Notamacropus eugenii: one gene and its partners. The protein of the gene in region 4 interacts with the protein of the main gene of each other region in a pairwise test. Links are inferred from orthologs where the notes say so. Each region holds a gene or a part of one and is shown on either strand. Other genes may lie near its edges. The genes, in order: ARR3, THAP1, ZGPAT and DVL2.

What was found.
Region 1: the proteins of DVL2 (region 4) and ARR3 interact in a two-hybrid assay, tested with the Homo sapiens proteins (2 studies listed by BioGRID and IntAct). The two-hybrid records come from large-scale screens. The link is inferred for Notamacropus eugenii from reciprocal best matches to the Homo sapiens genes DVL2 and ARR3.
Region 2: the proteins of DVL2 (region 4) and THAP1 interact in a two-hybrid assay, tested with the Homo sapiens proteins (2 studies listed by BioGRID and IntAct). The two-hybrid records come from large-scale screens. The link is inferred for Notamacropus eugenii from reciprocal best matches to the Homo sapiens genes DVL2 and THAP1.
Region 3: the proteins of DVL2 (region 4) and ZGPAT interact in a two-hybrid assay, tested with the Homo sapiens proteins (2 studies listed by BioGRID and IntAct). The two-hybrid records come from large-scale screens. The link is inferred for Notamacropus eugenii from reciprocal best matches to the Homo sapiens genes DVL2 and ZGPAT.

The regions. Positions count from the first base shown.
Region 1 is NC_092879.1:100,598,826-100,606,442, forward strand, and holds the start of ARR3 (arrestin-C), read right to left. Parts: upstream 3,314-7,617; 5' UTR 3,216-3,313; coding exon 3,199-3,215; intron 2,946-3,198; coding exon 2,915-2,945; intron 2,790-2,914; coding exon 2,729-2,789; intron 2,566-2,728; coding exon 2,521-2,565; intron 681-2,520; coding exon 481-680; intron 349-480; coding exon 289-348; intron 110-288; coding exon 42-109; intron 1-41. UniProt on the Homo sapiens protein: May play a role in an as yet undefined retina-specific signal transduction. Could bind to photoactivated-phosphorylated red/green opsins.
Region 2 is NC_092872.1:617,705,791-617,714,079, forward strand, and holds the start of THAP1 (THAP domain-containing protein 1), read left to right. Parts: upstream 1-5,208; 5' UTR 5,209-8,289. UniProt on the Homo sapiens protein: DNA-binding transcription regulator that regulates endothelial cell proliferation and G1/S cell-cycle progression.
Region 3 is NC_092872.1:496,789,052-496,796,249, forward strand, and holds the start of ZGPAT (zinc finger CCCH-type with G patch domain-containing protein), read right to left. Parts: upstream 3,068-7,198; intron 2,791-3,067; 5' UTR 2,726-2,790; intron 2,361-2,725; 5' UTR 2,251-2,360; coding exon 1,673-2,250; intron 619-1,672; coding exon 485-618; intron 1-484. Other genes in the region: ARFRP1 (ADP-ribosylation factor-related protein 1), read left to right, coding at 3,146-3,357, 5,593-5,686, 6,353-6,440, 6,752-6,834. UniProt on the Homo sapiens protein: Transcription repressor that specifically binds the 5'-GGAG[GA]A[GA]A-3' consensus sequence. Represses transcription by recruiting the chromatin multiprotein complex NuRD to target promoters.
Region 4 is NC_092873.1:78,832,215-78,839,733, forward strand, and holds the start of DVL2 (segment polarity protein dishevelled homolog DVL-2), read left to right. Parts: upstream 1-4,338; 5' UTR 4,339-4,442; coding exon 4,443-4,639; intron 4,640-6,068; coding exon 6,069-6,138; intron 6,139-6,508; coding exon 6,509-6,654; intron 6,655-6,797; coding exon 6,798-6,907; intron 6,908-7,094; coding exon 7,095-7,230; intron 7,231-7,360; coding exon 7,361-7,451; intron 7,452-7,519. Other genes in the region: PHF23 (PHD finger protein 23), read left to right, coding at 649-680, 843-935, 1,851-2,694, 2,868-3,082.

The DNA of each region.
Region 1 (7,617 bases), on a different chromosome or scaffold from region 4:
GGTCCTTCCAGCTCTAAGTCCAGGGTCCTCTAAGCCAGTACCTCTTGTGGATTTTCTCCTCTAGATTCTCAGCATAGAAACTCTTCACTTCATAGTCCACTCCACATGCCTGCAGTGGATGGGGAAGGAGAACAAAGACATCTGTCCCGGATGTGAGGCCACAGGGCTGATGGACCAAGTCTTGACCCTCAGCTTCCTTGGGTTGGTCCCCCCAACTCTCTTCATTGGTCTCTTCCACTTTCTCCTACTGCCCCACTGGCCTGTTCCCCCAGGGAAGCAGGATCTCACCTTTTCAGCATCCTCGGGCCCAGGCTGCAGGGTCACTGAACAAGGCAGATTGGTGGGCAGCTGTCAAAGGGAGGGGGATATCAGAAGGAGGTCAGCAGACAGGAAGGTCAGGGCCTTTCTCCTACTTCCCCTACTCTCTGTGCTCCCCCCCCCCCCAATGCCCAGTTCTGTCCTCCAGGGCTTGGGGCTCACCTGGAAGGTAAAGGGATGGGCACTGTCACCCAGCTTTTGCAGCAGGCATTCTTGAAGGCTTGTGAGGGGCAATGGGGCTTGGGTGGGCTCTTTGGGGAAAACTTGCAGGGCCTGCACATAGAGGTCTTTTCGGAATGTCAGACCGATCACGTCCAGATCATCCCGGCCATAACGGAAGGCACAAGTCAGCACCACAAAGACTGCGGGGAAATGAGGAGGTACTGACATGGGGGCTGGGATGGGCTGGCCCTGAACAGGGCCCTGAATAAGCCCCACAGATGCAATCCAAAGGTAGCATGGCAGAGGGTTGGATTGGAGGCAGGGCTCAATGGGCTCATATCCTGCTTCTTATACTCACTAGCTAATCTCTTTGGGCTTCAGGTAACTCTCTGTGACTCTGTTTTAGGTAAGTACTGGTAGAGGGAGCTTCCAAACCAACAAAATCCCAGGTCCTTGGTGGTGTGACAGTATACTGCTGAGGCCTCATCCTTCTGCTGGCCTGTAAGCTCCCTGAAGACAGGGACTTCAGGATTTTTGTCTTTGTAGCTCCAGCACCTAGGACAGTGCCTGGTGCTTTATTTTAGTCAGTGTGCAATACGTGCTTATCAAATGACTGAGTGAATGTAAGAATAGAGCCCAAGTGAAGGAGGGGCAGAAAGGAGGACAGACAAGAGGGAGCCTCAATAGACTGGGGGGTGGGGAGATGAACAGCAAGGGTAACTAAGTGGTGCGATAGAGCACAGGGCCCAGAGTCAGGATGACCTGAATTCAAATCTGGCTCCAGACACTTAATAGCCATGTGACCCGGGGCAGGTCACTTCCCCCTGTTTGCCTCAGCTTCCTCATCTTTAAAATGAACTAGAGAAGGAAGCGGCAAACCCTTCCAGTATCTTTGCCAAGAAAACCCCAAGTGGGGTCACCAAGAGTCAAACGCAACAAAGATGACGTTAGGGTGCACAGGAGCCCTGGTCAGAAGGTGTCACCGTCCTTGGAAATGCTTATTGTTTGGTAGTGAAACTTTCCTTTCTGCCTTCAAAACAACTTGTCCACTTCTTTTTTTCAAGCTTGAAAGTTTATTTTCCAAAGAAATGTTCATTCTGGGAGGATCATTCTGAAGGCTTTGAGCTTTTCAACTTGGGAAACTCATTTAGCTTACAAGCGTGTTTGATGTGTCAAAGCTCTCCGATTGTCAGAGGCCTTTGAAGCCAATCCCCTCATTTTACAGAGGATGGAATGGAGGTAACACAGAGAGGCCTAGCAAGGGCAGAGCAGAGGCTCAGAAGTCCAGGCTCCTGACCCCCAGAACACTAGGCTCTCTCTGACCTCTCAGAGACACTTGAGCTGCCTCAGCTTACTGTGGCTAAAAGCTTCATTTAAAACCAGCTTTTAACTCATGAGTGATTTTCCAAATCGAGTCCATTTAGGAGGGTTAATATAGGAACCCAAAAACACCCCCCCCCCCAGGGGAAAGCCCCTAATTGCAATTCTTAGTACTGATCTGTCCGTGTCATTTCTTTAGCTGCCTCATCCATGAGGTTAAGTGCCTGGGCTTGGGGGCTTGTGGGCCTTTCTTATCTTGATTCCTGAATTGCTCTGGGACCCCCAGCTCCTCCTCTTCTCTTAGTGACTGGATCTCTTCTACTTGGGATGGGTTACTGACATTGGTTGGCGGGGTGAGACTCTGTAATGGCATCGGGACATTTTCTCTTTCTACCTAATTACTTTAGGACCTGGAGAAGAACAGCGTAGTTTCCCCATCCCAGACTCGAAAGATACAGACTCAAGAAAGATAGAAAGACACATACACAGAGCATAGGTGGGCTCTCTCTGTCTGGCTTTCTATCTTTGTCTCTGTGTTTGTCTCTCTGTCTGTCTCTGTTTCTGTCTCTCTCCATCTCTCTGTCTCTGTTTCTCTCTGTCTCTGTCTGTCTCTGGCTCTCTGCCTCTTTCTCTCTCTCTGTATCTGTGTCTCTCTCTTTCTCTCTTACATGTACACACACACACACACACACACACACACACACACATATGCCCCATTACCTTTTCGATCTTTCAAGTACTCAGGGTCAATCAGGACAACACCATCTGTGGAAGTGGATGAGAAGGCTTGAGGAGAGGTGCCCCTGGAAGGGATCTCCTGCACCCCCCCCCCCCATTTGCTTCCTTCTTTATTTCATGCCTTTATTTCAGGATCCCTCCCCTCCACCCTATTGATGTCAAGATCTCTGGCCATCTGGAGGTCACTGACCAATGGGTTCCACTGAGTCTATATGGTCCACAAAGTCTCGTTTCCCTAGGTAGATGGAAAGCTGTTGGAAAAAAAGCCCCTCCTGTAATTCTCCAAATCACACACCATGATCCCTCTGCTCAAACCTCCCTGAGATTGCTCAATGATGCACGTTGACCTCCCTCCCGCTGGCCTGGAGCCTCTCACCCTCCTATTGAGGCAGGTCTTCTTAAACACCCTGAAGAGTAGGAGACAAAATAGTTATGGGGAGGCAGGGTTTGTATGAAAGAAATGGTTGTTGCTGGAATTAGGGAGGAAATGGTGGTGAGAACATAGCTGGGAATGAGAGGGCAAGGCATGGGGTGAGGGTGGGAAGGCTGGGAGCTATCCCCCTATGCTCACAGCAAGCACTGTTGGGGAGATAGTGAAGACTGGGGGGTATGGAGCATGGGGTGCTCAGGGAATCACAGGGAGTAGAAAGGGTGTCTTACTTGGAGCTGGTGGCCATGGACTCAGTTTGGGAGCACTCCTTGGGTTGGGAGCTGAAAGTCTTGACGTGGGACTTGGTATCTGTGACCTCCTGGGTAACCTTGGGCAAATCACTCCTCTCTGGGCCTCAGTTTCCTGAGCTATAAAATGAAGGGGCTAGATGGGAGGATCTCCGAGGTCCCTTCCAATACCAACACCCACGACCCTCAGAGAGAGGAGGCTTCGGCAAGTTGGTTCCCTGGCACCTCTCCCCTTTGCCAGCTCCTGAGCCCCCAGGAGGACTTTCAGTTGGGGGGAGGATGGTAGATAGTTTACCACCTGGTGCCACAAGAGATTGGTTTCCTTGCTCTGTAACCCCTCTCCCTCCCAGCTGTCACAGGCCCTTCCTCACCCCTCACACACACACACGCACACACACGCACACGTTCTCCCTCATACTTCCCTGTCCTATTTTATATATGCATATAAATGCATATGTATATGTACATATGTACAAAGAACATATATATGTGTGTACATTTACATATACACAATGGAATATTCAATTCAGGAAAAATATACGTGCATTTTTTTCTTGAATAGGCTTGCTGCATATTTTTGGAGACTGGCTGTACTAATGCGTTGGAATTCCCTAATTGTCAGCTCTGAAGGGATAGGAAAGACTCCATCCAGAAGACTTAGACTGGGCGGGGTGCTTCCCAGGTTTAGCCACAGCATATATGCTAAAAGGGAGACCCTGGTGTCTATGGGAGAAGGGAAGTGAGAAGGAGAGGAAGCAGGCAGAATTGGTTAGGAGCAGAGAGAGAAGAGAGGGGAGAGGGGAGTCAAAGCTGGCACAGTCCTGAGCTTTGGGGGCTGGGGGCTGCTCTGCTAAGCTAAGGAAGTGATCTGACAGCCAGACTGTCCACATCTCTGTGTTCAGGGACTGGGGACAGGGAGAGAGAAGCAGGGCTGTGGCTCTGGTCAGAAGGAGAAGACACTTTCAAGGCAATAGAGGCAGAAGTACGGGGAACTAGGGCATACTGTTCTCAGCTTATTGAGGTCTCCAGATCCAAGCGCTCTGAGTGAGACCTGTCTCCTGGGCTTGCCTCTGTGCATCCTTCTGTCCCTGGAGGGCTAGACCATGTGCCCTCAAGCCTCCTCACAAAGGCTGCAAGCATCTTTTGGCTACTGAGGAAGTTTAATGAGCAGGAAAGATCATGGTCTCACAGACTTAAAGCAGAAAGGGCCCTGAGAGGTTAGTGATTCCAACCTGTTTGTTTAGAAGAAGAAGGAAGCAGAGGCCTAGAAAGGGGGAGTGATATTTCCAAGGTCACAAAGACACAAGATAAAGCAAAGTCTAGATTTATACTCAACTCCTCTGCTACAAAGTCTGTTGTCCATCCCCCTTTCTGATGTTCCCTCTCTAAGGGACCTCACTTATTGGAGGCAGAAGGTATCAGGTTCTTAAGTGGGAGTAAAAGAAGTGGGAACAAGGGCCAGGAACCTCCCTTTGACTCAGATCTCTTCTCCCTCCCCACCACTGTCCTCCCCAATCCGATCTCCTCATATTCTCATCCCAGTGCCTGCCTTCTAGCCCACAGTCCCATCGCCTCATGACTAGAAACATCACCAACACCATGAGTGATGCCTGTTGGGCCCCAGGGCTCTTTCTATGCCATCCTCTGGGAATGGAGGTCAGGCTGTGGAGGGTTATGCCAGGCTGGGGTTGAGGGGCCTAGGCCTAGACAGCTCCCAGACTCTCAGACCTGGGTGGCAGCTGGCTCAGCTGGAGGAGGGGCAATTTCCCCTCCCAAACATCCCCTGCTGATGTAGGATTGGCAGACATGGATGGACAGAGGGAGCATGAGATGGAACCGGAGGGGCAGGAAATGTTACCTGGAGAGAAATATGAAAGGCAGCCCAGCCTCCTGCTCTGCTTGCAGTGCTCTTGACCATAGCCCTTTTATAGCCCAGGTCCTTGGGGCAGAGGGGGCTCAGCCTGATTAACTTTGGGGTGGGAGGGGAAGAGAAATAGCATAGCCCCTAATAGCTCAAGAAATAAGAGTTTGGAAAGCAGATTATGAGCTAAGAGATTAGCTCCTAGTAGCAGGAGGTTGGACAGGGAGACTGTGGCAGACCTCCCCAGCGTCCTGTCCTGGAAATGCTCTTTCCCACTTCTTCTGGAATATTCCACCATGTCAGACTGGGTGGGAGAGGGAGTGTGGTCCCTGAGACTGGCAACCAGGCTCACTGGGACCTCGAGGACACGCTGGCTGTGATCTAGGTGATGTGAGTGATGCTACGTGTGGCAATGTAGAAAGATAGTTGGCCTGGGAGTCACAAGGCCCAAGCAAGGTCCTTTCTAGGTCTCAGGCAAGCCTCTTCATTTCTCACAACCTCTACTTTCTCATATCTAAAAGCAAGTTACTAGTCCCAGCAGTGTTGTAAAGCCCAAGTGAGGTGCATGTCTGGATAGATGGCCATTTACATGCATGTGTACGGATCACTGTGTAAGCTTTCAGTCAGTCAGCTGATTGATTGATTGACTGAGGCCCTAAATTGAAAAGAGAAGAGGGTCCAAGATGGAACCTTAGAGGACACTCATGCTTGGGAGCAGAAGACAGATCCAGCAAGGGAAACTGAGGAATCAGACAAGTTGGAGGAGGAAGACCAAGAGAGAGCAATGTCCCAGAAGCTCAAGGAGGGCTAAGAAGGAAATAATAATGACAAGGTCATTTTAAGAGAGTAGGAGAGCTGGAGGCCAAACTGCAAGGAATCTGGGAAGGACTAGACAATGAATGAAGGAGTCTGGGGGTTTTCCCCGAGGACTTTGGAAGTGCAAGGATGGTGAAATATGGGAGCACAGTTGGAGGGATGGCAGAGGCAAGGGGAGAACTTTTTTAAAGGATAGATTGGGATGTTTGCAAATGTATATCCTTCTAAGGTCTGCATATGTACATGTTTGCATGTAATAATATGCGTGTGTGTGTGTGTGTGTGTGTGTGAGAGAGAGAGAGAGAGAGAGAGAGAGAGAGACAGACAGACAGACAGATAGACAGAGACAGAGAGACAGGGAGAGATATAAGGAGTAAGGATGAGGAGGGGAGCCTGAACTTTCACTCTCGGGGGCAGGTAATACCTGGGATTCACAGGTCAGGGGCTAGGAGACCAGAAGGTACCAGTTGGAGCATGGTGCCTTCAGCATCAGCCCTTGGCTTGCAGCCTCCTTCTCCATCTGCCAGTCTCTAGGGGCCAAGCTAAGCCAATGTAAGTGATCCTAAGCAGCTCTAGTGCTTTGCCTGATAGAGACAGAGATTGACGCTGGGGTTTATTCTTGGCCCTCCAGTCTGCTTAGCTGCCCTCACCAGCCCTGCCCACAGGCAGAAGATGATCTCTGATCTACCTCGGAGCCAACCTTAACCTGCTTTTCCTGATGGTTGGTGTGGGCAGGCAGGGCTCACCCAGCTGGGAGCAGGGCTCTTATTTTTGTCCTTTTCATTTTTTAGAATTTCTTTTTTTGTTACATTTTGAGTTCTGAGCTGTCTCCATCCCTTTGTCCCTAACCTGAGTTAAAGAAGGCCAACATTTGACACAGGTCTACATACACACAGACATATACAGACATACACAGACATACACATATACATATATGTACAGACAGACACAGATACATACACAATACAGACACACAAACACATATACACATATACATACACACATGTACACACACACACAGAACCATACAATACATCCTTCTATCCGTCAGTTCTTTCTCTGGAGGTGCATGGCATTTTCCTTCGCCAGTCCTTCATAACTGTTTGGATGATCCCATTACTCAGGACGGCTCAGCCGTTCCCGGTTACTCTTTGAACAGTCTCTCTGTTACTGTATATGATGTTCTCTTGATTCTGCTCATTTCCCTCTGCGTTATTTCATGCAGGTCTTTCTGGGTCTTTCTACCACCAATGTGCTCAGTGGCAAGGCTCTTGCACCCTGCCTCGCCAGGGTCTTCTCTTTCCCAGGTCCCAGATACCCTGCTCTCCTCTCCTAGTCCTGCCTTAACCGAAGCTGGCCAAGAAGCAGCCAGAGGTCCCTGACTTCTGAAACGCATCCCAACAAGGGACTGTGAGTAGAAAAGGGAATTTCAGAGTTCATTAACACAGATGTGGAGCATTGTGGGTGATGGGTAAGGTAAGGGTATGCCCATCCCTCTGGGTAGCTGAGATGGGCTGGGCTGGATGACTGGATCATGGGAAATCCATAAGCTGAGGAACTGGGAGGTAAGGGTGTTTGAGGAATATCAATATGTACATTAAGGGCAGGAATTGGGGAAAGAAGAGAAGGAGGAAACCACAAATAGGGGAATCCCATTCAAAATAATGAGGAAATACGTGAAATATCGCAGAGTCAATCTACCAAGACATGCTCAAGACTGATAG
Region 2 (8,289 bases), on a different chromosome or scaffold from region 4:
CTTCTTAACCAAAATACTTAATTGTAATACTTAAATCAATAGCTTGATCTTTTCAAAGGAAAATCATATAACAAATCTGAAAAGGGGAAAACTGAATCAAGGAAGCTGAATAAAATGGCTAAATCATGGTAGTTGGGTGAATCTAACAGGAATAAAGCCAACTCTCATGAATTGACTACACAACTTGTAGCTGAGTCATAAACAACACATTAATATTACCAGAAGAGAACCTGCTGCCTAATTCAGTTCAAGCCTGGGGTGTGTTTCACATTGGTGGGATGGCAAAATGAGTAAGAAAAATATTTCTTTTCCTGGAAGTTGACATGTGCTCTTAAAATTCCTCAATTGACTTAACCTGGAATAGTTTTTTAATGAGCTTTGTCACAGTAACAGTATGAAGGGACAGCTAGTTCCTAATTTATCAGTGATGATAGATAATGAAAACTATTAACCTTACTGGTAAACATTTATTGAGCCCCTACTGTGTGTAATACTGTCCTTGGCATCAAGAGGGAAATAATCAGAAAATCTTATCTGTAATTCATTCAGATACAGACATCAACTTGGTACTGACTCTAAAATGTCAATAATGATGACTTTATTTCAGCTTTTTCTGTGCTGGAGGACAATAACTGGCTATTGATGTCTACAGTAGATACAAAAATGATATGAAAGGTGACATACCATATTGTATTTAGGTAAGAAGGATTTGGGGATTTATCATTTGGAGCAAAAGACCAGAATATATCTCTGGATATATTTCTTCATTTCTGTGGGATAATTTAGGTGTGAATCTCAAGCAGAAAATGGACTAGATACTTTCTCACTATTGTTTATAAAACCTTAATCCCTACAGTGACTCATCATAAAAGGGAAGAATAGCAGCTATGAGAATTTTTGCTATACCTACATTTACTCAACTGAGGGATTCTGGAATCCTTCAAGTCAAGGATAAACCTTACTTAGGGTACAAAATTGAATTATCCTGTGGAAAAAGGAAATTTTCAGTATGTATGTTCTACCTACACTACCCACTATTACAATTCTGATAAACATTGATTTTATTTTAATATGCTGGATAAAGGTATTTTTTTATCACAATTTGTAGCATTTTAAGAATTGTAATATTTGAAACCACATCAAGTTAAAAAAGGACATTTTAAAATTTATGGACCGTCTTAAGTTCATTGCATTCAATTCTGGCAATGGATATAAAGAGATTTTAAATTTAATGTATTTAAACCAAGTAAAGTACTTCACTTTTTAATCAGTGTTTGAATTCAGCTATAACTCCCATGATCCAAGGTAAAAAATCACACAAATCAAAGTGATTTATACAGAGTGCCCCCAGGAGTATATAGTAAATTGATCAATTATCTGGGGAGTCTAGACGGTTGCCCAGACTCCGTCCGTTGGTCAGATGTCACAAGCACCACAGTTTCTGGCTTTTCAGTGGTGAATCTTCGTCACTGCAACAAGAACACAAAAGTAACCTGAATCCCTTATTACTATGTGGAATCTACCTCACAGTTGTTGTTATGGAGAAATAATACTTGAGTTTAAGCTTTGAATTTATGTGCAAGTAATTTGCTCTTTCAAATAAAAGCAGCCTATCTCAAATGTTTGTTCTGCTATTACTTCTGTAATGGATGTGCTCAGAAATTTTTAAGACAGGCGTGGAATGGTACCATGAAATGGTATTCGATGTAACTGTTGTTCCTGCTTCATTTATTACTAATGTGTATTAAGCATCCCATTGTACCTATAATTTACTATATTAATTTTTGCCATGTGCCAAAAAAAATTGAAAAATGAGTGTGGTATCTCTTACTAATTGGTTCTACATTCATAGGCTTTTATATTTTATTTGCTCCCCCTTTGAAAACTACAGGCCTCCTGACTCTAAGTCATGTGTAAGTTTTGAAGAAAAATAAGCCAACTTTCATGCTTAGCCATGGCTCCAAACTCAAATGTGTGAAAGCTTAAGTGCTTTTTCATTTCTTATTTGTATTTGTCATATTTGTCACAACTAATAAAACTAGCAGACTGGACAATTAGCATATAACACCATGATTTTCTTACACAGGACTTTTTGCCTTTGCCCATTTAACTTGTGCTTTTTCTTCCTTGTCTAGGAAAATGAATTTCCCTTTTGACTCTGTTTATTCATGTTTAACTTTTAAATTTTCTCAGAATTTTCTGAAAACTATCTGCTCTGAATGTTCGCTGTTCTTATTTGCATGTATCTTTTTGCTCCCTAGAATACTACGTAAGTAGGTACTTTAAGTCCTTTATGATATTTAGTCATAATCAGATTGCCTTTTCAAGAAAAGTCTAATTATTACATTTCTTGCCTTTGGTTCCTTTTTTGTGATCAGAATTGAGCCTTTTTCCCAAACAGGTCAACAAAGCATATATTCTTCGACTAACACCATCCTTATACCTTGGTCTACCACAAAGGCAGAGCCAGGACAGAATAATATGTCTCTCTGGGGAATACTCAATATTAATTAATAAGCACCACCCTCCCACTCTAGTGATGATGTTTTAGCTTACAAACTGTTCTACAGATAAGATTGAATCTTTTAAAAATGAAATTGAAAAAAAGAGAACCAGTAATTACTTGAAAGCAACATGACATCTGATATCTTAAATTATTTTTACTTTTAAAAACAAGTATTTAAAAATGCCCTTTTATATCCATACTAAAATAAGAATTCTTTGTCCAAGCACTAATTTTCTATATGACTGATTAATTAGCTGGCTCTGATCAATAAGAACAGCTCAGTTTTATATCATTATAGTTAATAAACCAAATTAGCATTTCCACCCAATGTTGCACTTTCTATAAAAATAGAACTCTTAAAAATGTCAGAAAGAGCTAATGCTTCTGATCTGATTTGGGAATATGCCATGTCAACTAGTTCTTTTTATTTGTTTTTAGTTTAAAACATTCACTTTTATAAGATTTTGAGTCCTAAATTCTCCCCCTCCCTTACCCTCAACTAGTTCTTTTTAAGAAACTATTTTGTAAGGCCTGTAAAACTAGTATTACCATTCCCTACCCCCTTCATAAATCCTTATCATATATCATAAAAACTCACTTGCATGTCATGGTATTACCTCCCTGACAGGTGGGCAACACAGGTTATTTGCTTTCCTCTTCCTCTCCTTTCCTTCCTTCCTTTTCTTTATTCTCCCTCCACATAGGGTATCATACACTTACCTGCCAGTGCTCTGCCCAAAGGGAATGTAAGTTTTACTCTCTGAAGCTTTGTTTTTTTTTCTCTTAATAAAAGAGCATCCTTAACTCCAAATCACTGTAGTCCTAGACCAAACCTTACTTGGTCTCAGTTTGGGCCCTGATTGGCTCAAAATGAATGAAAATAACAATCGTTTCTGTTTTGGTGAAAAACCTTGAGGGTCTTCCCGTCTCAGATCCTTTTTTTTTTTTTTTTTAAAGAGGCCATTCTTTGCCTCATTTTTTATTAAGTTTTAATCACTGAATGCACGATGCTCAAGTCAAATTGAGACCTATTAAACTTAGCTTGAAAAGGCCAAAGACCCCCACTGCATCCTGGGCCATCTCCAGTTGTGCTGATCCATATCTGGCCACTGGACCCTGATGCCTCTGGAGGAGGAATTGAGGCTGGTGACTTTGCACAGCCCTCCCTCACTTAAATCCATTTCACTTGCACATCATGGCGTCTCCTCCTTGATGTCATGGTCCTCTTGGAGAACAAGGACAAACAGCAGGTAGCATAAATTCTAAATCAGCTACATAGCATTTCAAGGTTTTTAAAGTTGTTTACATAACATTATTTCATTTATCTTCAAAATTCTGTGAGATAGAAGCTATTTTTATCTAATTTTACAGAAGAGAAAAATGAGAATGTGGGGGTTAGAGGGAAGGGAGAAGTAAAAAATAATACTGTGGTTTACAGCCTAAAACACCAAGAAATGGAGACCATTAACAGAAAGAGGCAAGTCAGGTTTTAAGCAAGAGGCCAATGATGATGATAGCTCACATTTTTAGAGTGCTTTATTTAACAAAGCACTTTCTTTATAACAATCTTGTTGTGAATTACTAGCCCCACCCCCATTTTACAGAGGATACAACAGAGATGTAAGGAGCATAACTTGCTCAGAATCACTGGGACAGAAAAGTGGCAGTGGCAGAACTCAGATCCAGATCTTTCAGCTTCAAGGCCAGTAACCAAATTATCACACCAGGCTGCCAGACAAATCACCTTCCCCCAGCATAGAATACTCAGAAGTGAGTGTAAGTCATTGTATTTGAAATGGGAAGACACTAGGGTATAGGTCAGAGGTTTTTAATCTTTTTGGTATCATGAACCCCTTTTGGCAATCTGGTGAAGTCTATGGACCCCTTAGCAGAATAATGTTTTTAAATACGTAAACCATATAAGATCACAAAGGAAATCCAATGATATTTAAAAATAAATTCATAGACCCCAAGTTAAGGGTCCCTATGTATTATAATAGTACAGGTGGGTGATAACTATGTCCTAATCTTAGGTTTTGTCATTCATATTCATTGGTTTGCCACGTCTTCTCCTTTAACCCTCCATAAAATCTATGCCCCTCTTTCCACACAGTCACCACCCTAATTCAGCCCTTTGTAACTCCCTATTTCCAGCCATTCCTATCTGCCATCTCTCCTTCATTTCCCACTTGGCTGCTGTCCTGAATGATCTCCAGAAACTCATCGTTCTGCAAGAAGAATTCAACTCTGAAACTCACACTTCCCCATAACCCTGTGGCTCCGGTATGCCTCCCCATGGAGAGGATGGAGGACAGACCCTGGAGAGCTCCTTCATCTTTGAAGAAGGGCATCCAGGGAATTCACCTCATTGTTTCCCAACGGTGCTCTCCAGTACTTCCTGACCTCCAGAAACTCATCATTCTGCAAAATGAATTCCACTCTGCAACTCACATCTCCTGAGATCATTTCCCATTCCCCACCCCCCCCTCCCCCATTAGACTGAGTTTCTTGAGGGAAGCAAACTGTTCCATGCCTTTCTTTGAATTCCCATTGCTAAGCAGTGTCGAGCACATTGTTGGCCTTAATAAATGTTTAGTGACTATTGACACAGCTGCCAGAATCCCTCCTGCCTCTAAGATAAAATATAAACTCTTCCGCCTTATCTTTCCAGCCTTATTTTGTTACTCCTTTCCTGAGCTCCACATTCGTATTAAACAGGGCTGCAGTTCCTGGAACCTCTCCTCCAATCTGGGCATTCAAAGACATAAACCCATGCCTGAGTTCACTCCCATCATATCTCCACATCTAAGAATCCCTTCTTCCAAGGCTTAACTAAATGTGCCCCTTGAGTGAAGCCTTGCACTTCCATAATTGTATTTGTTAATGTTCTCCTCAAATTACCTTTGTGACTGACTTCTCTGTGAACGCTGACACATCCATCAGTATAACAGGTAAGTCTTTTAAGGGAAAGTCATTTTTGACTCTCCAAAAATTAGCCCAGTACCTTTCACAGAGAAGAAGCTTCATAGATACTTGGTGAATTCGTTTGGTTAAGGGTTAGAATGCTGCTTAGAACCACTTTTGAAAGATCCTTCCATTTACTCTACATTCAGAGAAATGGTTTATCTCCCCTTCCTAAATATTACTTCCTTTCCCTTATGTTAATTTTTTAATACTTCAGAAGGGCCATCATTTCCTCCCTCTGGGTACTTCAGTCTACCAATGCATATAACAGCCCTTCCAAAACTTAGCACTGTCTTGGGCTGCAATAGCACCAATCCCCTTCCAATCACATGCTAGGTATTGGAGTTTATTCTAAATCTTTCCAATTTAGCAGGCCCAGCCAAAAACTGTGCTCCATTGGTATGCTATTAAAAACCCTAGGGTTACTTCCACATAATGAATGATGAGGCTTTAGAGTAAAATTTCCAAGAGAAATGTTAACATTCTCTAAGGCTAATGTTCTCTAATATTAGCATTCTCTTTTTGGGGGGGGGGGAAGGGAGGCAAGCAATTGGGGTCAAGTGACTTGCCCAGGGTCACACTGCTGGTAAGTGTCTGAGGCTCTGGATTTGAACTCAGGTCCTCCTGACACCAAGGCCAGTGCTCTATCCACTGAGCCACCTAGCTGCTCCTTAAATTGTAATCTCAGCTTTTCCTCCTGTGACTGGTACGAAGCCCTGCACACAAAAAGTGTTTAATAAATATTTTGAAATATATATGAGGCAGTACATCATTAAGAAGTGGGATAAAGTCATATGCCCTCTGTAAAGTCTGAGGATTAGCAAATTTCAAGTAAGAGTTTTTAAGGAGGTGTATAAACTTTTTAAAAACATGTTTGGATAAGTATTTCAAAATAATTGGTTTTTTTGGTAATACTATGCATTTTATTAATTTAAAAACACTTTTTTGAGAAGTCCAGTTAGGCAACTAGGTAGCACAGTGAAAACTGGATGTGGAGCCAGGAAGATGTGAGTTCAAGTCAGACCTTGGACACCAGCTGTGTGACCCTGAACAAGTCACTTAATGTCTGCCTCAGTTCCCTTATTTGCAAAATGGGGAACACAAAGAGTTCATAAACATTTATTAAAACCTACTCTTTGTGAATTATCGAATTACTAATTACCTAAGACTTTAGTAATTTATTGAGAATACAAAGAAAAGTAAAAGACTGTGAAATATTAAAACAACCTATGTTCAAACAAGTTACATACAGAATAAATTGTAAATAATAGAGAGGAGGGCACTAGAATTAAAGAGGATGGGAGAAAGCTTCCTACAGAAGGATCTTTGGTGGGACTTGGAGGAAGCCAGGAGAGAGAGCATTCCAGGCACGGAGGACAGCCAACGAAAATATGCAGTTATCTTCTCCAACGGACAGCAGCAATATGAAAATACTCTGCGTGACTGAACACGTTTAATCTATACATACATACACTGCTTGCCTTCTGAAGGAAGGGGGGGGTGAGGAAGGGAGGGATGGAATTTGGAACTCAAAAATTATAAAAAAGAATGCTAACGTTTTTACGTGCAACAGAGAAAAAAATCCAACATTCTATTTTTAAAAAAAAGCAACAAGGAGGAGGTCAAGTAAGAAGACTGAAAAAATGGGGTAGGGGCCAGGGAGAGGAATGTCATAAAGAGCTTTCAATTCCAAGTTGAGGATTTTGTATCTAATCCTGGAGATGATGAAGAGCTGGAGGGGTGTCTGTGTGGGACATACACCTGCTTGGTTTCTGTTTTAAATCTAGTTAGATTTAATAGCACCCACCGACCCCTCGGGGTTGCTGTGAGGATGAAGTTAGATGTTGGCCAAGTACTTTGCAAATTCTTAATTATTATTATTTCACCAGAGTACTAAAAGGGCCCATGACATAAAAAATAATTAGGAACCACTGTTCTAAAAAAGGCACCTACAGAGCTTGGTTCAAATTATTAGTCGCCTCCCTCTTCCCCGCCCCCCAGAAGCGGAGCTATCGCCGATGAATCGATCCGCGATATTGTGAGCAGCAGTTTCGGCCCGCCCCTCCTCGAGAGGCAGGACTCGGGGCGAGACCTCTAAGCACCTTCCAGCCCTGTCTTTACAGAATTCTTCTAGGAAAACCTTGCCCAAAGGCCGATCAAGGCATTCCCTATCCTTCATAAGGTGAGGGCCGAGCGCTTGCTACACCTCTATCGATTTCAAGGACTCCAAGCGCTGCCTCTCCCAAGAAAACAGGGCTTGTAGGCGGGGCTTGTGATTTCTCCGCCCCCTGCGCCCGCCTCGCTCCGCCCCTCGTGACTTTCAATCCCCCGCCCGCTCCCACGACGGGCCCCTCCCCTCAAGCCAAGCCTCAACCCGGCCTTCCAGAAATAAACTCGGGCTTCGCCGCCGCGAACTTCGCAGGCTCCGCCCCATTCCGCCAACTCCGTAGGCTCCGCCCCATTCCCCCATGGCCTCCCAGGGGGAGGGAAGGGCCGGTCGAATCAGCTCTGCGCGAAGGTGTCGGGACTCCGCCTGTTGCCCGCATCCAACTGAACGTTACCTCGGGTCGACAAGCCAATCAGAGCCGACGCCCGCAGCTCCTCGCGAGAGGTGAGGTTGAAGCTGCCTCCGCCATCTTGGAGATGGGAGCAGACGGGCGATGGCTGCGATCCTGCTAATGCAAACAACAATACAGGCGTATTAAAAGCGTCCTGGAGTGAGCCGAACTTTCTCCGCTTCGGTCGGCTGGCTCTAAAGAGGGCAGCGAAGTGTCTAAGTCAGGTGCGCGGTGGCGGCGGCAGCAGCTGCTCCTGCCCGC
Region 3 (7,198 bases), on a different chromosome or scaffold from region 4:
TCCTCAAAGGCAGGGACCATTTCCTTTTTGTCTTTCTACTCCCAGCATCATGCCTGCAACAGCATACACTTGGTAAATGCTTGTGGACTCAACGGCCTGCATAAAGGTCAGTCTTTGACCATGTGTGAGGGATCAAGTTTGCTTCTCCCAGGTGTCCTACCTGACGGCACTGAGGACCGAGCCACAATCTTTGACTTGTTTTACTGCTACATTCAAAGACCTTTTCAATAACTGTTTCCATGAATATTGTCACAGAAGAAGTACAGTGAAATGAATAGAGGAAGAAAGGAAACAAAGACCATTCCATTTCAGTACCTGATATATGATGAAAATAAGACATCAAATTTTAACAACTAACTGATTTTATCTGAATCTCAAAAAAAAATCTGATATCAGATCTAGCTTTCAAAATCACTGGCATGAGGCAATCATTTCAAGACACTGATTAAGGAAACCCTCAGTCTTCCCTGTCTTAATAGCTTACCTGTGATCCTCGCTGGATACCAAATTCCATCATCGTACTTAGCTAGACAGGCTGAGCCTGTGTGCAGGGCACTCAGGTCTGGCTCCTGAAAGGGACGAAGCTCATCCACAGCAACTACTTGCCCATGGGAGAACCTGCAGAGATTAGGTTAAGCACATCAAATATTCCCACCCATAAATGGCACTAACATCAGGTACCAAGAAGAAGCAAATCCAGTACCTGTCAGAACTTGTACTCAAATGCAGAGAATCAGATAGATGCCAAAAAAGAGGTAACCCATTCAAAAATAATGGAGAGTTTGAGAGCTGTTTTATTTTTACTATTTTTGGTGGGATAGGTTTTTGCAGTAAACTCTCAACTCTCTGGGAGTGGATTACTAGCTCAGTGGTTTCTCCACACTTCCTTTATGATAACCAGTTAGGTCCCACGTTCCTAATGTACAGTTAAAGTAAGAGCTCGCTCAGGTTATTCCACACAAAATCAAGCGTGCAAGTCTCTGATTATATATTTTTATCATATTTTTCACACCACTGCTCATTTAGTTGGGCTGAATTCTTTTTCAACAAAAAAGGATATGTAAAATCAAGGAAGAAGAGTCCCACCAGTCAGCTTAAGGCCAACATAGAAATATGCCTCTCCATAAACCTTGCAAACAAGAACAAAACCAAAACCAAATAATACCCTTCAGCTTTCCCTATTCCACCCAGTCCCTGTCCCTCCCCAAGACACATGGGAGTAAAGCCCACCACTGCATCTCACTGGACACATAGGGTACTCACTGTGGGTGAGTAGCTACAGCATTTTGCAAGGTTGCTTCACACATGTGCGATACAGGAGAACTCAAAGCACTCAAAGAAGTATAGTCCTATTTAACAGAGGAGTAAACCAAGGAGTGGAGAAGGGGAGATGTGCCTAGGATCAAACTATGGTCCAAGAACCCGCCTCCCAAAATGCACCCCCTCCACCAAAAAAACTCCAAACCCTAATTTCTAAACACTGTCATGCCCTATATTGTACTAATGAGGGCAAGAAAACAATACTGAGAATGCCTCATGCACCTCTTGGCAGCATGAGAAATGACTAAAAACTAAACCAATCACTCCCAACCATTTCAAGCTGAGGCTGTTGTCCTCAGTTGACTGAGTGTCTTCTGGTACCTGTAAAGACAGAATGGCATGAGAGAATTACCTGCAGTTCTCTTTGAATCGGCATTTTCCCTCCAGGAAGAAGGGACAGGGCTTTAGGGACTTATGAGTCGGGTAGAGATAGAGCACACGAACCCCTGCTGTGCCATCCTCTGACTGCTCTGTCCCCACAATCATGGCATTATGGTATTCCAGAGTGCCCCAGGAACTGTAGTAGGGAGCATTCACCTTCATCCCACTCAACTCTCCCTCTTCCTCCTCTTCATGCCCAGATCTGTCAGGCTCCGTTTCTCCTCTTTCAGGAGAGGTTGTAGTTTCAGCACCTTGAGTCTCAGAATCTGTTACTTCACGAATGGCATTCTGGAAAGCCAAATACTCAGCTTCATCCCTTACTGCGCTCTCAATTAGGCCAAGGCTTGGGTCCAGTGTGGCCAGGAGCTTACTCTTCTTGATGGACACAAGACTGGACTCAGTTAGCTCGATGAGCTGCTTTAAGTCAGCCTGCAGCTGAAGCAAGTCAGCTTTTTCAGTAGGGTCCAAGCCGGTCCCCAGGGCCAGCTCCACTTGCTGCAGTTGGACATGGTAGGTCTGGATGGAAGCTTCCACACTATTTTCATCCATCCTGCAGAGGCAGTCTGTAGCTCTTCTGATGATCTACTTGAGTATCCCTACATCCTACAAAACGCTGGCTAGGAGGCAGCTGTTCCACAAGCACCTTTAGGAATCACGATCTGCAGAGATGAGGAATAAGGCCATTTCAAACAGATGCTTAATCACAACAGAAGTCCTGGCGTTTGGGCCCCATCCCCCCTCAGGCTAGGGGAGGCATCATCACTCCTGTCAAAGGACAGCTACGCCAGAGCAAGGCCACTCGCGAGGGCAGGAACCATGCAGTCCTTTAAAATTAAGGTTCCTAAACTTAAAGCTGTCATGTAGTCGGACAGGTCTGAAGGGAAGATGGGATGTCAAAGTTAGTGGGAGGAGGAAGAGACAAAGGCCATGGGGAAGAAGGAAGAGGGACTGGATGAGGCCGTGGGGAGGGTGGAAGAGGGAAGGGAGGAGAGGAGAGCCGGTGGGGGGCGGAGAAATTATTTACCTTGTACAAATTGTGTACTGACTTAGCTGCCTAGATCTTATTTCCCACCAGTACAACGTAAGCTCCTAAGGGCAGAGAAGAGAACAAGGTGGAGGAGAGGGGAAGACTATAACGAAGAAGACGGGAAGGGGGAGGAGGAAGGGGCGGCGGTGGGAGCAGGGTGGTGGGGGAGGGGAGATGAGGCCTAGCCCTTGGGCGTCCTCCGCAGAGACCTCGCCCACAGACCCTCGGTGGAGGAATCGTTTCTTCATCTCTAGTCCTGCTCCCGAGCCCCGTCCTCCCTGCCCAGGTTTTTTCGGGCCCTATTCCCTCAGTAAGCTCAGTGTCTCTTCAGCCTCTCACCCCTCAGGCCTGGGAAGCAGCCGCCGCCGCCACCTCCACGGCCGCCATGAAACCGCCGCTCGGGCAAGACAACCATAGATGCCGTACTTGTTCTGGCTAGAGAGGCCCACAACAGCTCCTCGATTCCCTCACTGGGTCGCCACGAACCCACCGGAACTCCCTCCCCAGCTTCTGCCGTCCACCGGAAGTGCAAGCGTCATTGGAGCTGACGACCCTACCGCCCGCGGACTTCCGGTGTCTGCTGGGATTCGTAGTTTCCAAAAGGCCTCTCCTTTCTCCAAGAGTTCGGTGTGGACTCTATGTCCCAGAAGTCATAGCGCCAGGGTCAGCGAGAGAGGTCGACTCTTGCTGGCGGTAGAGGTAGTGGCCCGAGAGGGTCTCGTTCGGCCCTAGTGGCTGTAGTAGCCGTCGTTCCGGCTCCGTCTCTGAGGCGCTAGGCCGCAGGTAGGAGCCCCGCAGCCCGTTCCCTGTTGCTTCCTCACGGGCTCCACGTTCGTTGTGGAAGTTCCCGAGCCGCTGACTTAGGAGTTTGAGGCCGGACCAGAGAGTTCCCTCTGTGGGGAGGGCCCTTTGGCCGGAGCCGGCCTCTCCCTGGAGGCGAAGAGGAAGCGCATGGGTCGCTCTGAAACTCAGGCACGTCCCCTCCCTCCTGGCCCAGGCCGCGTCTGGGCCACAGGACCCAGTTTCCTAGGTGACGCTCCGGGCCCCCTTCCACTACTAGACTACACCGCCCCCTCCTCCCACTTCCGAGTCGTGGGTTCATCTTGCCCTCCCACTCCCCTTCTGAACCTGTGTTCCTGCACTGCCCTCTCGCTCCCCATTTTGGAGACCGTGGCGTTACGTGCCCCTGCTTTCGAGAGCCTTGCTCCATCTGAGCTAATAGGAATACATCGCTCTCAGCCACTCTTTCTTTTCCTTGCCCAAACCCCCACCCCTACCCAAGAAAAAAAGGAAAGAAAAATAAAGAAAGTGAAAAAAAGTATGTTTCTAATGTTCACTCAGTTCCTTAGTTCTCTCTTTCTGGAGAGGGATGGCATTTTTCATCACAAATCCTTTGAAAATGTCTTGATTCATTGTATTGATCAGAGTAGCTGAGTCTTTCACAGTTGATCATTATTACTGTAGAGCTACTGTTTATATTTGTTGTTCAGACTTTTCAGCTGTGTCTGGCCCTTCTTGTCCTCATTTGAGGTTCTTGTTAAAGATACCGAAGTGGTTTGCCATTTCCTTCTCCACCTCATTTTACAGATAAAGAAACTGAGGAGAACAGGGTCAGGTTGACATGTCTAGGGTTGCAGAGCTAGTAAATGTCTAGGGCTGGATTTGAACTCTGATCTTCCTGACTCCAGGCCCAGCCTTCTATCCACTGCCTAGTAACTGCCTCAATATTGTGTTACTGTGTACATTGTTCTCCTGGTTCTGTTCACTTTGCATCACTTCATATAAGTCTTCCCACGTTTTTCTGAAGTCATCCCCCTCCATTCCATCACAATCCTACCACAGCTTATTCAGCCATTCCAAGACCTTTTTCTGAGCCATAAAGTCCTATTCTTATCTCCCACCCCACTTTCGTTTATGAGCTAACATCAGAACTAGTGAGTCCCTGTGTGGGTGTCCAGATCAGTTGGTCTGCCTACTGATAGAACCCCTCTTGTCTTACTGCTGAGCCAGTAGGTCTGTCCTATCCTAGTGTTCCAAACCATTATTTGAAAACTAATACTCTTCTCCTTATCTGTTAGTTAGTTCAAGTCAGTAGTAAAGGAGATGGTTCCCTCAGTGAAAGATTAGTCTTGTTTTTGTTGGCTGTGGTGGAGGTGTTGGTTTGACCCATGGAGCACAAGTTATGGGAATTTATGAGGCCCCTAATTTTTTCCCCATAACCTTTAAAATAACCCTTAAAAGCCCAGAATCTCTGGGTTATAGTGTTTCTCAAGAGAGAAAGGGACAAGTTTCTGTCTAGGTGAATGATAGTGGCCCCCATAAAAGAGTTGCTGTGCTATGCCACTTTGGTCCTTGGATATTTTCAGCTGTAGGCCCTTATGTTGAGAGAAGTTAAAAGGCCCATTTAGCCTGCTGAGAAGCACTCAGTCTAGCTCACTGTATAAAGAGAAAGCAGAAACTCACCCTGTTACATGCCAGTGTCTTTGGGGAAACTTTTCCAGTCACATGGAAAGAGCAGTGGGATAAGCCTAGTAGTATTATGACATTGTTATCACTGATCTTCCCAAAAGCTTAAAGTTTTTCAGTCAGAACCTAATCTTTACAAAATTTCTAGGGAATAAATGAGAAGTCTGTGGTATAATACTCATTTTGCCAATGAGGAAACAGGTTGATTTTTCTCAAGATTACACAGCAAAAGGAGCCTAGAATAGGATCCTGGACCTTCTGGCTCAATTGTTTTATCTGTTGTTGTTACGATCATTACTGTTGTTATATTGAAGGAAGCAAGGAAGATGCTGTAAGGAACAGAGTTCCCCAGCAGTATTCCCCAGTAATTCCTGGTTTCTTGTACTTTACAGGAGCAGGATGTATACACTCTTATCAGGGCTTTATAAGTACATGTTCCGGAGAGATGAATACTGTATCCTAATCTTGGGGCTGGACAATGCGGGAAAGACGGTAGGTAGTTTCTTTTCTGGTTACCTCAGTTCCTTTTTGTAAAATCTATTTTGCTACTTTTTTTTTTCATTCAGTAAAATTTCAACTGATTATGTGATAGCTCAGCTGTAAGTCTGAGAAAAGGTTATTGTAAGTGATTGTAAGAAAGGAGCATTTTAGAAAGGGGAAGGAGTGATCTTTGGATCTGTTTTTCTGAGACAGTTATGATAATTGGAGTGTACTGGTTAAGTGTTTAATAGCTGGGTCTCAAGTGAAAAAAGTTCATACAACACAATTTTATATTTAATCTGCATTCTTAACATTTCCTTTATCATTTTCTTAAGCCCAGGCAATCAGTAAGACAATAAATCACACTTTTATTATAGCATTTCTGAGGTGTAAATACACTGAAAATTTAAATGTCATTTTTCAAGAGTTGGTAGGAGCTAGCTATGGCATATTCCTGGATTGTAGAAACTAACAGATTTTTGGAGCTAAAAATGAGCTCAGCTGTTCTAATCTAGCCCTTTCTGAAATCATGAATCCCATCAACAGAATCCCTAATAAGCATCATTTCACCTCCACTTGAAGATTTCCAGTGACAGAGAACTCTTATCCCTTGAGGCAGCCCATTCCATTTTGGACAATTTTAAACTTACCTTCTTGTTTGTTTTTCCATCTACCTAGACTTTCCTGGAGCAAACGAAAACCCGATTTAACAGAAACTACAAAGGGATGAGTTTATCCAAAATCACCACTACAGTGGGCCTGAATAGTAAGTGGATCTTTTGGGGTTACAGAATCAGGAAAGCAAATAGATATAGTGTGACAATATCTCATGATGACCTAGGTGAGATAGCCAGGGAATAACAGATTATTCATTGATCTTCTTATGTGGTAAAGGAAAGAAACTGAATTTCTGAGAGCTGAATACCTTCCTTATCTCAGTGATTGCTACTCTGTGGAGTAGTGGGGAGTTATTTTGTTTTACTTTCAGATGAGAGATTGGGGAAAATGAAGTTTGTGTGACTGGGATCTTGTATTTTACCTTTAATTTCTCTTTTCTTCCTTCTTCTTTCCTTGAAGTTGGTACTATTGATGTGGGCAAAGCTCGCCTTATGTTCTGGGATTTAGGAGGACAAGAGGAATTGCAGTCTCTCTGGGATAAGGTAAGAAAGGAACTTTCTTTTTTTCCAGGCCTGTCCTTATGCTTAAGTTCCATAAAATTTTTAGAAACTCTATGGTCCTGAGGATAGTCCCATCACAAACCAGATACTGAGCTAGGTAAAGATAGCTCTTTGGTAATTTTACTGTTCAAAACCTCACAGTATGAATATTTTGACTTCTTATAGGAAGCAGCTTTACAAATAACTCCTAGAAATCTATCTGCTCAAACATACTATTTTTTTTTTGTTCATGCAGTTAGAAGCTGGAGTTTCCAGATGCCAGTTTCCAATCTACACTTAGTAATAGCTGTTTTCTGCACATCAGTGTCCTGCAAAAAAAAAAAAAATCTGTTCTACTTAGAATAAT
Region 4 (7,519 bases):
TTTTGGGGTGTGAAAGTATTGTGCCTGGGGGTAGTGACAGAATATGGACAGTATAAACTGGAGATCTGCAAATTAGAGAATAGGGTCCTGAGAACTCTAATTGAGTGGGGGGGTGGGGGGAGGGGAGCCGCATGTCCAGGCCTGAGAACCAGGTCTTGAGAATTGATGATGAGGAGGGGTGTAATAAAGCCAGATTAAACCTGAGAACTTTGAGGAGTGGGAACAAGGGATTCTGCATGAACTGGCCAGAAAAGAGAATCCAGAGACTAGAGTGGTGGGGCACAGGACCTGATGGTGTGTGGGAGTGTCCCAACCAAAGGGATTGGGAATGGGAGCCCAGAATAAAGGGCAAAGGAGGAGCCAGGGGCCCTTGGGACCACGAAGGGTAACAGTGGAAAGAAGTAGAGTAGAACCTGGAGAAACATCAACATGGGAGGGCACATGTAAACCATTGCACTCTGAGAAGACTGGGCACTGGAACAAGGAAGATTAGCTAGGAAGAAAGTGGGAGCACAATCACTCATGCCTCCTGTGGGAAGGGAGGGAGGAAAGAGAGGTGGGGGGTCCTTCAAGAGTAACAACGTTTGGGGAAAGAAGCATGTACATTTTTCCAGTACCTTGACTCAGGGCTTTTATTGATTTTTTCAGATCTTCCTCCAAACCTGAAGCCAGAGGCCCAGGTGAGATTTCCCTTCCTACTTCAACCCAAACTTTCTTTAGGGAACCAGACATGTAAGATTCCCCCAGATCTCTACTCCTTCTACCTCTTTTCAGGGGAACTTTGCTTTTGGACCACTGTTCCCTTTGAAAATCCAGGTGTCTGATTCCTTCTTTTTCTGTAGCCCCCTGAAAAACGAAGGCGAACAATTGAGGATTTCAACAAATTTTGCAGTTTTGTCTTGGCATATGCCGGCTACATTCCCTCCAGCAAAGAGGTAGGGGCAATGATCTTAAGGATGGGATGTGAAGGATTTGGGTGAGGGCAAAGGGAGGGAAGGCTATTGTATAAGATTTAGGGAGATTGAAGGGGTAAAGGGGAGTTTAAGGGTAGTTATGGAAATAAATCTAGAAGGTCTATGAAGAAAAAAATGTGGTTTTTTTTTTCGCGTTGGGCGATGTGATAGGATGGAGAATCAAAGGATATCAAAAATGGAGAAGTTATGGGGGTTCAAGAGAATTAGAATTAATGGAGATAAAGTTAATGTAGGCAGTTGCAGGAGGAAGGGACAAGTTAGGGAACTAGGACAATTGGGGAATGATGGTTTTGTTTGTTATTTTGGGTGTGCCAGAAAAGTTTTTGAGAGTCTTGGGGGCACTCTTGGGATCTTGTGGAGGTAAGGTTGAAGATATCTGTGGTTGCATTTAGTGTCATGAGGCCTTGGCTCAAATCCTGTCCAAGATAATTGCTATCGATGATCATAAGCATCTATAAAATCGGGATGACACTTAAACTGTCTGCTTGACAAGGTTGTAAGGAAGTCCATTTGCAAACCTTAAAAGTTCTGTGTACTGTCTGGTTATTATTATTAGAATTACGGTTAGGATAATAGATCATGGGGGGGAGATATGGGTTCTAGTGACAAAAGACACTTCATGGAGATGTTTGGAGACTGCTTAGTTTAGGGGCTGAATTGTTGGCATTTATAGGGAGGTAGGTGGGTTGGTTAGATAATCTGAATTGGTTGGGCTTGGAGAAGTTAACTGTGTGCAAGAGACCCAGGGTATTAGATGACTGCTGTAGTACCCGGTTGTGGTTAAGTCTGATGTGTCTTGCAAGTGTGGGAAATGGAGTTGGAATTTTGTTGAAAGGGGGCACCAACACTTAACCCTCCCTTCCCACCCACCCCTAGGAAAGTGACTGGCCAGCCTCTGGCTCTAGTTCACCATTTCGGGGAGAGAGTGCTGCAGATAGTGATGGCTGGGATTCAGCCCCTTCAGACCTTCGAACCATCCAGACTTTTGTCAAAAAGGCTAAATCTTCTAAGAGGAGGGCTGCTCAAGCAGGTCCCCCTCCACCAGGGCCCACCTTCCCTCGACTGCAGGCCTCTGACAATGCTACACTGCTTGAGAAGATGAAGCTTAAGGACTCTCTCTTTGATCTGGATGGACCCAAAGTGGCACCCCCTCTGGTCCCCGCACCCCCAACACATGTCCCTCGGCCCCCTACTACCCTCACCCCTGTCATTGCTTCCCAGGAGGATCTCCCTCAACCCTCCCGAAAAAAGGACCGAAAGAACCGAAAATTGGGGCCAGGAGGGGGAGGAAGCTTTGGAGTGCTTCGGAGACCTCGATCAGCTCCTGCAGATGGTGAGAAGAGGTCAAGAATAAAGAAGAGTAAGAAACGAAAGTTGAAAAAGCCGGAAAGGGGGGATCGACCCCCCCCTTCTGGGCCCCCTCGGGCTCTTCCCAGTGACACAGACTCTGAAGAAGAGGAAGAGGAGGAGGAGGAGGAGGAAGATGAAATGGTAGCAGTGACAACAGCAGTAGCAGGCAGTTGTGGGGGTGAGGCCCCAGCTTCTGCACTCCCTCCACCCCCTGAGGCTCCCCGGCCCTTCACCTCAACCCCCCCAGGAGGAATCCCTGCTGAGAGTGAAGCCAAGGAAGTGGGGAGCACAGAGACAAGCCAGGATGGGGATGGGAGCTCCAGTGAGGGTGAAATGCGGGTAATGGATGAGGACATCATGGTAGAATCAGGTAAGAAGGGTGTTTGAGGGAAGTACTCTGGGGAGTAGGGGTGGGAAGACAGAAGAACATACACTTTTGTCCCTGAAGGGAGTGGGTTCTTTGGGATGGAGGGGGGAATGCTTGAAATTCTCTAGACTGTGAGTCTTCAGCAGAAATCTGATCACAACCATCCCTTCTCTCAGGTGATGACTCATGGGACTTGATCACCTGTTATTGCCAGAAGCCCTTTGCAGGGAGGCCCATGATTGAGTGCAGTTTGTGTGGAACATGGATCCATCTTTCATGTGCTAAGATTAAGAAGACCAATGTCCCTGACATATTTTACTGCCAGAAGTGCAAGGAGTTGCGGCCAGAGGCCCGGCGGTCTGGTGGTCTCTCCAAGCCTGGAGAGCCCTAGGACCCATCCAAACTTTTCTTACTTCAAGTCGGAACTCTTCACAGACATCATCAACTGAGACGGGGTCCCAATGTTGCCACTGATCCATTGGGATTTGAACACTGTCCCATGATGGGGTGGGGATTCTCAAGGAAGGCTTACTTGGGAATGAATGGGTCTTTCCCTAAAGACTTTAGGACTTGAATTTTGACCCATTGAACAGGAAGATGCCCCTGTTCCTAAGATTCCCTACTTCATCCCTTCACTGTTCTGCCAGTTGACCCTGCTCACTCCCATATCCACCAGCCCAGACTTAGGGCTGGAATCAGGGTGGGGTGAGGCAGTTGTCTATACCTCTAGTGTAATATAGCATTGCCCACCCCTTTCTTCTGTCATTTGTTTGGACCCTTGCCTTTTATTTTCTCAAACCTCTTCCCCCATTTCTTTCCTTCTGAAAACCTTTTGGCTCAGGTGGCCTAAAGGAACGTAACACATGGGTCTCTTGTCTTTTGTGGGGGACAGGTGATATTTCCATCATCTCCCCACTTCTTTGTTTTAATAATATTGGCCAGCTGCTTGTACATACCGCGTGTTTGTAAATAAAACAGTGGGCTCTTTTGTGTTTATAGCCCTGTGACCCTTGTCCTTTCCTTCTTGGAAGATATGTATCTGATGGAGAAAAGGAGGGAAAGCAAGGCTAAGCGATCGTGTTCTTCCCCCCAAAATGCTGAGGTCTAGCCCGTGTCCAGCCCTCTAAGGTCTCCTGGTTTAGACACTCGAACGTAAGCCTTTGGACCATAAGTGAGAAAGTTCCCAGTAGCCGGCTCCGAGTGAGTGTCTGTTCTTCGGGGCTGGGGGGCATGGTGAGGATGTGTGGGGACAGAGGTGTAAGAAGAGGGCTGGTCTGTGAAGGAAGGTGTTTTCTTGGTCCCCGGACGATGGTGAGAGCTGGAGGTAATTTTAGGGGCGGGCCCCGGCTGGGGATTGGGAGAGGGAAGATGAGGGAAGAGTGAGGGGGTGGGAGTTTTCGGGGGAAGGGACGGCAGCACCGTGGGTGGGCAGAGGCTGGGGAGTCCTCACGTGACCGAGGGGAGCTGAGGAGCCGGAAGTGAGGCGTACCGTGTCACGTGAGGGGGCGGCAGTGGGAAGTGTGTGGCGTGGGGCTGGGTGGGAGGGAGGGGACGCCGGGAGGGCGTCCACTTCGGAGGTGTAAGCGGGCCGGGCTCCGCCCCCTCCCCCTCCCCTAGCCTGCCCGGGATGGCTGGCTGGGCTGAGCGGCCGTGTGCGCAGGCGCGGCGGCCGCGGCGGCTGGGCCGGGGCTGGTGGGAGCGGGGAGAGGAGAGGGGAGCTCGGAGGCGGGGAGGGCGACGCGGGCCAGACCATGGCGGGCAGCGGCGCCGCTGGGCTCGGCGGGGCCGGCGAGACCAAGGTGATCTACCATCTGGACGAGGAGGAGACGCCGTACCTGGTCAAGATCCCGGTCCCGGCCGAGCGCATCACCCTGGGAGACTTTAAGAGCGTCCTGCAGCGCCCCGCCGGGGCCAAGTACTACTTCAAGTCAATGGACCAGGACTTCGGGTGAGCGCGGGGCGCGGGGCCCAGGGCCCGGCCGCGGCCGGGAGGCGTGGCGGGGCCCGGGGCCGCAGCCCTGGGCGTGGATGCCGCTCGGGAGGCCGGGGGGAGAAGTAGAAGGCTTCGTGCCGCTTTGGACCGTCGGAAAATCAGACCGAACCTTATTTTGCAGATGTGGAAACTGAGGCACTGAGAGGTTAAGTGGCTTTGCCCAGTTACACAGATAGTCAATGTCAGAGCCAGAATTAGAACCCAGGTCTCTAGACGTGCAGTCAGGCTCTTCCCACTGACTTCTGGGTGACGAGGTTGGCACTGCTTTTGTCACACTTAAAACAAAAAGTGATAAATGAAGGTAAGCCATCCTTCTGATGACGAGGATAGTGCTGGGGACTGAGTGTGCTGGGCCGTGTCTCCTCGTCCTGACGGAGAGAATCCTGGGCTGTTAGTGAGGTGCCCCGAAAGGCCAGTGGTGGAGGGTGTGCAGTTAGGGGACAAAGTCAGTGTGATCTCCTGGAGGAGGTGTGGATCAAAGAGACCTACAGAGGGAAGGAAGACTAGGAAATTTGGGCATTGCAGGATTGGTGGGTCTGTCTCTTTGCATTCTATGAAATCTTGCGCTGGGGAAAGGAAAAAGGGAGAGTTGTCATTCCTTTGAAGTTTGGGGTGGAATGGGGAGGGTAGTTTCCACCCTGATGGGAGAGACACAGCCCTCACCCTTGGCCAGTCTGATAGAGTGCTCACCTAGACGCATGCAGAAATCCAGGTGCAGATGGTATATATTTGGGAGGATTTCTAGACATGGATCAGAGGGAAGGGGAAAGAAAAACATTCACTGACTGGACAGAGCTTCAGACAGGAGTGCTGGTAGGTAATAGTGGAATGAAAGCTGGGGGTAAATGAGATCAGTCAAGACTCCCATTGGAACAGAATTAGGAAATTAGGAAGAGTTGTAGATTTGGGAAGTAAGGGGGACACATCTCTGCAAAGACTTGATGTCTGGAGAAGGTAAAGCAGGGGCAAAAGAAAGGGGGACCATGTTTACCCAACTGGGGTAGAGAGACCTTAAGGTTAGACAAATAGTTTAAGGAGATTGGGTGAGCTTGGGGGGGTTACTCTTGAAAGTTAAGCTAAGAAGTTTCAAGTAAACGCAAGAAACATTTAAAACTCCTGCCAGGTTCTTAGGTTGAAAAGAAAAGGAAAAGGAAGTAAGTAGGAAGAATTACTAGGTAGGGGGATTCCTAGAGGGAGATGAGGAGTTGGGCTGTTATTAACTTGAGGGAGTGAGGAGGGGAAATGCTAACTGTCTTTAAAAGACCCCCCCTAATGCCCCACATTAGGAGGGGCTCAAAAAGAAGGCTGAAATGTTCAAAGGCAGAACCTTTGAAACAGCCTTATTTCATCTAGCACTGTTGACTTTGTTCTCATCTCCTTGCAGCGTGGTGAAGGAAGAGATTTCAGATGACAATGCCCGATTGCCTTGCTTCAATGGGAGAGTGGTCTCTTGGGTAAGGTGGCTTGAGGGGAATGAGGGGACCCTCATTCTTCCACATTAGCATCCCCACCAGTTTCCTTAAAAGGAACGCCTCCTCACCACTCTGCTCTTGCCCCTGCCTCGCTTTCAGATTTTTCCTATTCCCTTCCCTCAGAACAACTTTTCAGTCTCATAAACCCCAGTTTACCATTCTATGTGACTCTCAAGATTCTTTTCTTTGAGTTTCTAGGTTTTGTTTTTCTATCTTGGGTCCCCTTCCAGGTTCTCCTTATCATCTCCATCTTCTTCTCCCTCCCTCCTAGAATCATTTCCCCACCGGAACTTTTACCCTGTTCTTACCTTTCCTAAAAGTCCTTTTTCATCCCTGTTCCCCACCTCTGTAGCTTGTGTCCTCAGATAACCCACAGCCAGAGAATGCTCCCCCAGCCCCTGAACCTCGGGCAGAACCCTCATCTCCACCCCCACCACTGCCTCCCCTCCCTCCTGAAAGGACTAGCGGCATTGGGGACTCAAGGCCTCCATCCTTCCAGTGAGTACTGGGGAGCCTTGTTGGTGATGGGAGGGAGAGAAAAGATCAGCTTCTAGTTAGATTCTGGGGCTGGCTGATCATCATTGCTTTTAGGAGGAATCCCATCATCATTACCTTTTTCCCTGACCCCATTCCTTTTCTAGCCCTAATGTATCGAGCAGCCGAGAGAACCTGGAACCTGAGACAGAAACCGAGTCAGTAATATCACTGAGACGGGAGCGGTCCAGGAGAAGAGAGAGCATTGATCATGTTGGTAAGGGCAGTCACACTCCTAAATTCTGAGAAAAGGAGGCATGGTTTGTGCAGTATGCACATTCTGGGTCCAAAAGGAGATAGGAGCAGTGAAAGATGGGCAGGGGAGAACCAGGGACATAGGGTGCTAGACTTTGGATCTCCCTGGAGCAGAAGTCCAGCCACCTATATCCATACATCTTACTAAGGTGGGGGCCATCGGCCTAGTGGTTCTTCCCGCCTGGAGCGACACCTGGCTGGCTATGAGAGCTCCTCTACTCTACTAACTAGTGAACTGGAGAACACCAGCCTGGGAGATTCAGATGAGGATGATACCATGAGCAGGTATGTCTTATATCTCCCTTTCCATTCTGTCCCCACACTCCTTACTCCCCTCCTCACCTGAAGCTGATGTGATTCCTCTTTCTGCTTACCTTAGATCTCTGTTTTTCTTTGCCCACATTATCCCTGTTAGGTTTAGTAGCTCCACGGAGCAGAGCAGTGCCTCCCGACTCCTAAAGAGACACCGTCGGAGGAGGAAACAGCGACCACCTCGACTGGAGAGGGTGATGTGGCCAGACATCTCTGAGGGAGTCTCTGAGGGGAACTAATGGGTAGAACTGGGAAATCTTGG